Oryzias latipes: one gene and its partner. Each later gene encodes a partner of the first gene's protein in a complex. Links are inferred from orthologs where the notes say so. Each region holds a gene or a part of one and is shown on either strand. Other genes may lie near its edges.

Region 1 (4,596 bases):
TTCCTAAATCTTGTAGAACATCGATATTTCTGATGGAAAACCTGAGATGTTGTTTTTGCTCATCTGTGCCGTTGACCTCAAACTCTCCCATGTCTGGCGTTTTTATTGTCTGGTTTACCTCTGATGATGGATTAAAAAGCTGTTTTACTCAAAGGACAGATGTATGCCGCCCTGTGAAAAATGTCAGACCTTTTTTATGGTTCTCCTATGCTTACTTCCTGTTTCCCATTCAGATTCGAGGTGCTCGTAGTCGGGCTCTTCATGACAGAGCCATTATCAACTGCCAGTACAGCATGGCCACCTTCAGCACGGCGGAGAGGAAGAGGAGACCGCACGGAGACCGCAAGTCCACAGAAATGAGCCTTCACCTCAAGCAAACGTTTGAAGCTGCCGTGCTGACCCAGCTCTACCCACGCTCCCAGATAGACATCTATGTCAAGGTTGGCCTTAGATTTATAGTATACTGCGCTCTACTTCATAGCATCTGTTTTCGTCATTGTTTTAAGAACGTTTTCATCATTCAAGATTCTTCAGTCCGACGGGGGGAACTACAGCGTTTGTGTGAACGCCGCCACACTGGCAGTGATCGACGCAGGGATACCGATGAGGGACTATGTGTGCGCCTGCACAGTGGGCTTCGTGGATGAAACCTCTCTTGCCGATCTTTGCTACGCAGAGGAGAGCGGAGGAGTGAGCTCTCTGGCTTTGGCGCTTCTGCCCCGCGGAGGGCAGATCGCTCTGGTCCAGATGGATGCCAGACTGCATCAGGATCACCTCGACACTCTGATTGAGGCGGCAATGACCGCTTGTAAAGGTGTGAGCAAAGTCCTGGACCAGGTGGTCAGGCAACATCTCCAAGAAGGTTCTACGCTCAGAGAATAATGGTGAAGGAAAGAGTAAACAAATGGTTTCCTGGGATCAACACTTATTTTGTCGTCATTCTTAACATTTTATTAAGTATATTTGTGCATAAAGAATAAATGTGAATGTATATCGTTTCTTTGTATTTGCATTTGTTTTATTAGCTGAAAACTGACCTGTTTTTGATGCAAAAATCAATGTGATCAACTGAAACAGCAACATCAGCATTTTATATATAAACAGATAATAAAGCTTTGTTTTCAGACTGATACAATAAGAACCTTTATTTTAAACCACACATCCGTAAGAGTAAACAATTTGTGAAAAATTAGATAATTCTTATATCCAATTTATTTAGCTGTGTTGATATCTTACAAATTTTCACCAAAACAATACTTTTTATTCCTGAATGAAATGCTCTGTTCATGTGTTTAGTCTTTTTTTTTTAGATTAATTTTCTTTGATTTGTTTTGCAGACAGGCTATTCTGCTTTTGCTTTTGTTTGTTGTAAAAGTAATTTTTATGTCACAATACAATACATGTTTTGTAAGAGTTTCAGTCCGTTGAGGCTGAATAATCTATCATTTTCTTTACCTGCTGAAACAAAATTGGTATTAATGTAACTTACTTTTTAAAGTAACTTTTCTTACATAAATCTTTATTAGAATTATTGCATATTAAAGTACATTTTCACTGATTATTACAAAAAGATGCGTGACTAAGTTTAAATAATCACATTTTACACCACCTCTGGAATATTTTGATAAATAGAGATGTATTTCATTTTTGACCGGATATGCATTTTTCAGACCGGAAGTTGGTCCACAGAATTAACGTTCCCGCGGGAACAAGGAAACAAAATACTTCAGCAGCCCTGGTGTGGAAGCGTCGCCTCTGCAAGTGTGACTAGGTTTGAGGTACATTTTTTTACGTCTTAAATATATCACATTTATAAACAACGTTTACACTTTTGACGGATGGTATATATTTTTAAATACTAACGATGCTGTTCTGTCGAAGCTAGCAGCATTAAGCTAACCATCATTCATGAAGTTGAATGAAACGACGAGAGTCAGAAGACATTATGTTAATATTTGTAGTTATAATTATTTTTATCACGACCACACCAGCTAAAAAAAAGTCTAAATGATTCTAAAACGGTTGTATTTTTCTCTGCGTGGTGGTACAAGCTCATGGATTCGTCCAAAAATCAGTGCAGGAGTTAGTGAGAGTGAATCCCAACATGCTCCTCTGTCTAAAGTAGCTTTCTTCAATGTCTGGTTCCGAGCTAAAAGTGACGTCTAATGAAATATGACTGAAGGGCTGTTTCTCCTATAGGAAAAAACAGTAATAGTTAAGTTAGAAATCATCATCATAAAGTCATATCAGATTTCAGATTAAGACCACAACTAAATAATATCTACATAATCAATCAAATATTGAGATTCGGAGATCCCATGTCCAGATTTTAGAGTTTTCATTTCGTGCAGGCTGGATGACTGAAACATGCTCCTCTTGAAAAATAAGTAAAGACAACAAAGCTGCAGCTCATTCAGAACTTTGCTGTCAGAGCCAGGAGAACCGACCACATCACTGCGGTTCTCAGGTTTTTATGCTGGCTAAAAGTCAGAAAAAGGAATGGATTTCGATTTATAGCCTCTGCTACTGCCTAACTATGTAGCCACAGAGGCAGCCCAACGGGTCCCCCTGTCACTGTCCCTAGCCTGGTTAAATATAGGTTGTGTCGCGTAAAAATCCGCCCAAACCACCTCTGTGAAAACAGCACAAGCTGTTTTGCTGTGGCGACCCTTGAAGAAATTTGCTGAAAGGTGAACAAAACTGTATGTATAGCCACTTAAACACCTATCAGATCTATTTATTGTCAAATACGCAATAATTGTTAACATGTGGCACAGATGAAATGAATATAATTTGGGATTTTAACTTATTATTTTGATTCTTGAATCTTCCCTGTATTATCAAAGCTCTTGCATTTCTTGAAACCCTTTGAACGGCCTTTGTGTTCATCATTTGAGAGCTCTTCATTTGCATTATCAAGGTCTGGAGGTCTGTCTGTTAGTGGTCTGTACCTTTTCTGCCTTCTGGTTCCAGTAGATCCACATATCCAGGATAACGAGACGACATGGGGCTGCTGTCTGACCCCAATAGAAGGCAGGCTTTGATCAAACTGCTGACCCGCCTCAATGCTCCAATCTGGTGAGTTGTGTTATTTTTCCATTGCTCCTCTCATACTGAGTGTTAGAATGTTTTAAATTCTCCACGCCTGTCCTCGTCAGCTTCGTCTGCTACTTTGCGGGTGTTGCTTGGTTCATGGGTCTGGCGTTTGAGCCGTTCACCCTGCGGACCTACATGTCAGAGAACGCCATGGGATCCACCATGGTGGAGGAGCGCTTCCCTGCAGGCGAGAGAGCGCTGGCTACAGGCCGAGAGTTTGCTGCTCACAAGAAGAAAGTCGGGTAAAATGATTGTATCAATACAGAAATGAGTTTTTTTCCCCCTACAAAATCTCCCCTTAAGCTTAACTAAGCTGTTCCTCTTGGCTTCTCGTCAGTGGGATGCCGGTGGACTGGCTGGTGAAAACCATGCAGGCTCGAGGGCTGGAGGTTTTCACGCAGAGCTTCTCTCGCACGCTGCCTTTTCCCGATGAAAACACTGAAAGATACGTACGTTTCTGTTGAATTTATGTTTAAATCTTCCAGTTTGGTTGTGTTTTTAGTGTTCAGATGACAACATACCCATTTTCTGAGTATATATGTCTTTTTTTTTTCTTCCTTGCAGGTTGTAAAAGGTACAAATGTTTATGGGATTCTCCGAGCACCTCGAGCTCCGCGGACCGAAGCGCTGGTGCTCAGTGCTCCCTGCACTCCAGGTGATAACAACAACCAGGCTGTGGGACTGCTGCTCGGTTTGGCCCATTACTTCCGGAGTGAGTACTTCATCGACACAGATCAGACGAAAGAGTCGCTCTTTTTTGTCTAAATCAGTGTTTTTCAACCTTTTTGAGCCAAGGCACACTTTATTCTGGACAAAAATCCCGCAGCACACCAGCATCCAAAAATGAAAAAAGGAGAAACATATATAGATGTACAGTCCCTCTGCAATCTCGCATGCATTTTTGTGATATGTGTGGCAGAAAAAGCTGGAAGTTGCTGCTGTTTTTTTCTAAAAGATGTAATAAAAGTTAAGTTAGCTTTCAGTAATAATTTTCAACTAAATTATTTGACATTTTTCCCTGGTAGTTGTTTTTTCCTCCAGTCTATTAACATGCAATTTTATGTAACCTAACATAAAACCTATCCTGGAGATGGTAAATGTTTTTAGATGAGTGAATGGGTAATTTCCCACGGCACACTGGTTGAAAAACTCTGGTCTAAATGACCTCCATCTGAGATGAAACTTCTCAATAATTTCTCCTCTTTCTAACAGATCAGGTTTACTGGGCCAAAGATATCATCTTTCTGGTGAATGAGCATGATCTGATTGGGATGCAGGCCTGGCTGGAGGGATACCATCACACCAATGTCACAGGTGAGCGCTATCTATAAAGTAACTTCAGTAGTGCTTTCATGACGCTCAGGATGCCTTACAGGCCCCAAATGCAACACAAAAATAGAAAATTAAATGAACTGTTTAACATAATTGTGCCGCCTTCTCGCTGACCTGTGTTTCAAACAGCAAGGCTTTAGGTCTCATAGAAGTTCTTGTTGATTTGTC
Region 2 (4,358 bases), on another chromosome or scaffold:
GACGTTGATCTGGAAGACGCAGAGGAAGAAGAGGCGGAAATGTTCAAACATTTCGGCAAAGAAATACCAGAAGAGGCCGATGTTGGGGGTCAGGTCAGGAACGGAGAGGCTGCAGGGAAACCAGCAGGAAACATCCATCACACGGGGGAGAAACCATCTCTAAAACCCTTCACTCCTCCTCATCCTCACTCACATGAAGCCGTAGACGGACGGCATGTAGTCCCAGGAGCCCAGCAGGAAGAAGGACAGGCAGACCAGGACGAACAGGCTGCCCAGGTACATGAAGAGGTATTGAACCACAAACCACCAGAAGCTGACGCGCCGGAGGTTGACCGGGATGTACTGACGCTGCAGGAGCAGACGCAGGGAGACGGGAGTCAGAGACCAGGAGAGCGCCGGGACGCTCCCGTCACTGGGAGGAGACGCACCTGCATCAGGTAGAGCATTGCAGGAGCGCACAGGGTCAGAGGGTAGACGGACTGATAGGTGGCCAGACACAGGAAGATGGCGCTCAGCAGCACGTTTCCTGAAACGCAGAGAAGGTCAGAGGTCCAGGCGCCAAACAAGGGGTCCAGCCGGAGTCTGAGGGCCGACCTTTGACCGTGCAGAGGATGAAGAGAGAGATGACCATGTTGTTCAGGCCGCAGGTGGACTTGGCGACGCAGGACAAGATGGTGAACGGGTTCAGCAGGTAACTGCGGGAGAAGAAGAGCTGAAGCTTCTGCTGGTTCCGCCCAGAGAGCGGAGGGGGGCGGAGCTCTGAGGAGGACTCACAACATGGCCACTTTCAGGGGGACGTAGTGCATCTCTAAGGGGGTCCTGATGAGCTCCAGACAGTCCGGGGGGTAGCGGTCCGCCTCCAACGCAAACTTCTGTTTTCTGAACTGTAAAAACACGACAGAGTCTGGGTGAGAGCAGATCTACGTGCAGAGGTTCTGCAGCTTTCTCACCACTTGTTTGTTGTAATCCTTGGCTGCTGCGTACAGCGCCGCGGCCGTCACCACGTCTGCCAGCTGAGGACACAAAGCAGAGCTCCACACATCCGCCACAAACCTCCTGACGTCCAGAACCTCCTTTAGGGACTCACCATGAAGGTGATCTCTGCATAATCCACCAGGAAGTGGAAGAGGTAGATGATGAGCGGAGTCTGCGGACAAACACATGTGGTGAGGTCCGGCCTGAGCGTCCGCCGTTTCCCACGTTCAGGTCGGACGAAGGTGTCACCTTCAGGTGTTTTGGTTTGTGACTCACCTCGTGGAAAACATCTCCAGAGTACGGAGACACTCCCAGGTCAAGCAGAGCCAGACCCTCGATCACTGCAACACAACCACACCACAACAGAGTCCTCAGTCTGAGGCGGTAGGTTCATGATCAGGAAGATTCATCAGAAAAGGATCCAAACCTCAGAACCCACAAAACATTTAGACTATTGTCTGTTTGAGCAGCAGGCTCCGCCTCCAACCTCCTGAACGGTTGACGTCCCCGTCCTTTTGTAAAGTCAGACCGCATCCACAGCACACTAGGAATGCTACCCTCTCTGCCTGCTAAATACGTCCCGTTGGCTGCTGTGACTGAATATTATGGTCTGTTTTCTGCCGTGCTGAGTTCACAGATCAGATTTGGTTAAATGTTCCACATTTCCTCTCGTCGTGAATCAGGGAAAACCTGTTTAGAGCTGCAGAGATGCATCAGAAAAACGAAGCGTTCTGGTGGCATTTTTCTGATGATGGGGACAAATATGAAGAAAATGAAGCTTCAAGTTGCATTTCTGAGTTTTTCTTTATTCAAATCGTTGTGAATGAGGAGCAGACGAAACTATGCCGTTTGAAAAACATCCTATTTGTGATGTCGACAAAAAATATCCTGGGCGGGGCCACAAACTCCCAGCTCCGCCCCTTTCTGATGCATCCACCTGCAGACAGGTAGAGAGACCCATGAACGTCTTTGTCTTCCTGCAATCTGGATCAGAACTGAGCGGCTGGACAGCTGCGCTAATGTTAGCGGGAGAGCGTGGAAACAGAGAGCTCTCAGCAAAGGGGAGGGCAAGGGGGGCGGGGTTGCTCCATGCCAACAGGCAACTCAGAGGAGAGGTGGATTTCTACTGAACTCCAGCTGCTCTGCAGAAACTATGTCCTAGAAAAAGACAGGATTTTGGGCTAAAAACGGCATCATCATCAGAAACAAACGACCGGGAACAATCTGACAACAGATCAGATGATCAGGAACATGGATGAACCCAAACATGTTCTTCATCCATCAGAACCTGCAGGACAACCCAACAGCTCCTCTGCAGAACCTCCTGTCGTTACTTTGACTGAAGTCACTTTCAGTTAATGAAGGCGTTACAGCTCTGACAGTGTCATATTCAAATGTAATAGATTACTTGTACGAGTAACAATCGATGATAATAATCAGAGATGAGTTCCTTCAGTTCGGGGTTTTTTTGGGGACCAAAAATCGGATCAGAGTCCGAGTCTGACACCGTTTCACCTTCGTCGACCATTCTCCAAACATTTACAGATTTCTTTTGTGACAGATTTTGTCGCCGAACCGGTTTACCGGCGCAGCGGGGAGGCGCGCGGGTGCGAGGCGTGTGTGACCGGTGCGCTCCGGACCCCCGCCGGCGGCCCGCTCACCTCTTTTCCAGGCAGTAATCGGTGACACCACCTCCACCCTCTCTGAAATCAGCTCCGCCAAACTGGACCGGAATAGAACGGCACGGACCGTCACGGCGACAATCATTAGGAGCGTCAAGGGAGCCGCCATCTTCGCGAGGAAGCTCTCTCGCCCTGCGCTCGAGGTGCATGCTGGGAAGTCAAGTTTATTCCGTCTCGTCAGGAAAACATTTACCTCCAACCTCCACAGATTTACAGTCCAAGCAGCGATAAGGAGCGAGTTTAATAATAATAATAATAATAATAATAATAATAATAATAATAATAATAATAATAATAATAAAGGAACATATTTACAAAAAGACTATTTAAAACGCATAATTCAAGCAATTAAAATCAAGATTAGAATTTTGTTTTAATCAAATATTGTATTTAATTTTATGTGTAAAGGTAAATAAACACATTTTAAACAACTTGAAAAGGAGTTTAATCTCAACAGAGGAGTTTTCATATGATCTTGTTGTTAGTTCTAATTTTGCATATGCTGAATATACATAAAGACGCTGTAATTTTAAACAATAATATAGCACATATTACAGGCGTTTTTCTTTAATCACCCCGGAATGCGGAATGTTTTGTCATTTGCGTGTTTTCAGTCGAAAGATTTATGTGACGGATCAAAACAAAACTGCAACTCGCCGTCTAGTTGGAATAAACTATTTTACTGTTTCCGGGGGCGTATTTAAAAATAAAATAAAATTAACGCTTTTGTGGGCCTGTGTTAGCGTCACGTTGAAGTAGATTATCGTTGTTCGTTTTAAAAATATCTGATTACTAAATTGTGACTGTATCACGTCTACAATACTATTTTAGCGTGTCGTATGTGTTTTCTGCAATCCTCTAAAAGCCACGTGCTTTTACTTTGAAAATCCCTGCAGGAAGTCGCTGTGGTTGTTATGGAAGCGACGACTCTGCGATTTTTGTTTTCTGTTCTTGTTCTGTGCTGTTGGTTTGTGAGACAACATGGCAGGCTTGGAGGTGTTGTACACCTGCGTCACAGGTAGCCTGACTTGTCCTCAGGACGCCCTCGTGTGTTTCGTTCACTGGGAAATGATCAAGGGAGGATACCGGTGCATCGGTTCCGGAGACGAGGTGGGTCGAACTAGCTAACTTAAGCAGAACCAGAAGAGACAAACCAACAACACATTCTGGTTTTATTTAAACACATTTAAGATACGAGACGAACCAAGTTAATGCTGTTTGTTTACTTTTAGATCGTAGTTTGTTGACAGCCTCTGAAGTCCCTCTGAGTTACAGTTTTGATTTAAACTCTCAGTCTGTGGGAATAAATGTTAGCTTTGCTACATTAGCAGGAGGATCAGGATGGAAACTGAAACTGTCCTGCAGGCGATTCAGAGGAAACCTCCGCTGAGTTGGTTCTTCTTCCTCCATCTAGGTGACCTTTGACCTCCTAAAGTTCTGCATTGAGTCATGTTTTAGTCCGATTTTTAGTCTCGTGCAGTTGGCACGCGCCATTTGGTCTCATACTAAACAAATGGACTTTCCGCAAAAAGTGTCACGTCATCTTTAGCGCGGGGGGGGGGGCACAGAAGCGTTTGAAAGAGAGGGTGTCTCACCCCCCCCCCCCGCCCCCGTCCCTCCCCCCAGCCCCGCAGCGGTGACCGGAAGTCGGAGCTCCTGCCTGCAGACTGGAGCAGCAACAAGGAGCTGTACAGTCTCCGC

The links.
Region 2: the proteins of gpaa1 (region 1) and pigu are in contact, whole or in part, in a cryo-EM structure (PDB 8IMX), measured with the Homo sapiens proteins. The link is inferred for Oryzias latipes from reciprocal best matches to the Homo sapiens genes GPAA1 and PIGU. Residues at the interface, in NP_003792.1 of Homo sapiens: Gln245, Leu310, Arg311, Arg313, Phe358, Leu359, Ile371, Ala389, Leu390, Trp393, His397, Leu500, Ile504, Leu508, Cys512, Leu515, Thr516; in NP_536724.1 of Homo sapiens: Tyr349, Ile355, Phe356, Cys360, Ile363, Val364, Leu367, Leu368, Val371, Leu372, Leu375, Ile377, Tyr378, Ala379, Gly380, Ser381, Phe386.

Annotation. Positions count from the first base shown.
Region 1 is NC_019875.2:26,756,890-26,761,485, reverse strand, and holds the start of gpaa1 (glycosylphosphatidylinositol anchor attachment 1 protein), read left to right. Parts: upstream 1-1,654; 5' UTR 1,655-1,778; intron 1,779-2,973; 5' UTR 2,974-3,004; coding exon 3,005-3,078; intron 3,079-3,158; coding exon 3,159-3,338; intron 3,339-3,433; coding exon 3,434-3,545; intron 3,546-3,660; coding exon 3,661-3,808; intron 3,809-4,308; coding exon 4,309-4,410; intron 4,411-4,596. Other genes in the region: exosc4 (exosome complex component RRP41), read left to right, coding at 234-440, 526-882. UniProt on the Homo sapiens protein: Component of the glycosylphosphatidylinositol-anchor (GPI-anchor) transamidase (GPI-T) complex that catalyzes the formation of the linkage between a proprotein and a GPI-anchor and participates in GPI anchored protein biosynthesis. Binds GPI-anchor.
Region 2 is NC_019863.2:32,755,046-32,759,403, forward strand, and holds the start of pigu (phosphatidylinositol glycan anchor biosynthesis class U protein), read right to left. Parts: upstream 2,813-4,358; 5' UTR 2,767-2,812; coding exon 2,637-2,766; intron 1,317-2,636; coding exon 1,252-1,316; intron 1,148-1,251; coding exon 1,088-1,147; intron 1,014-1,087; coding exon 951-1,013; intron 885-950; coding exon 775-884; intron 696-774; coding exon 595-695; intron 527-594; coding exon 429-526; intron 349-428; coding exon 194-348; intron 110-193; coding exon 1-109. Other genes in the region: psmf1 (proteasome inhibitor PI31 subunit), read left to right, coding at 3,639-3,767, 4,284-4,358. UniProt on the Homo sapiens protein: Component of the glycosylphosphatidylinositol-anchor (GPI-anchor) transamidase (GPI-T) complex that catalyzes the formation of the linkage between a proprotein and a GPI-anchor and participates in GPI anchored protein biosynthesis.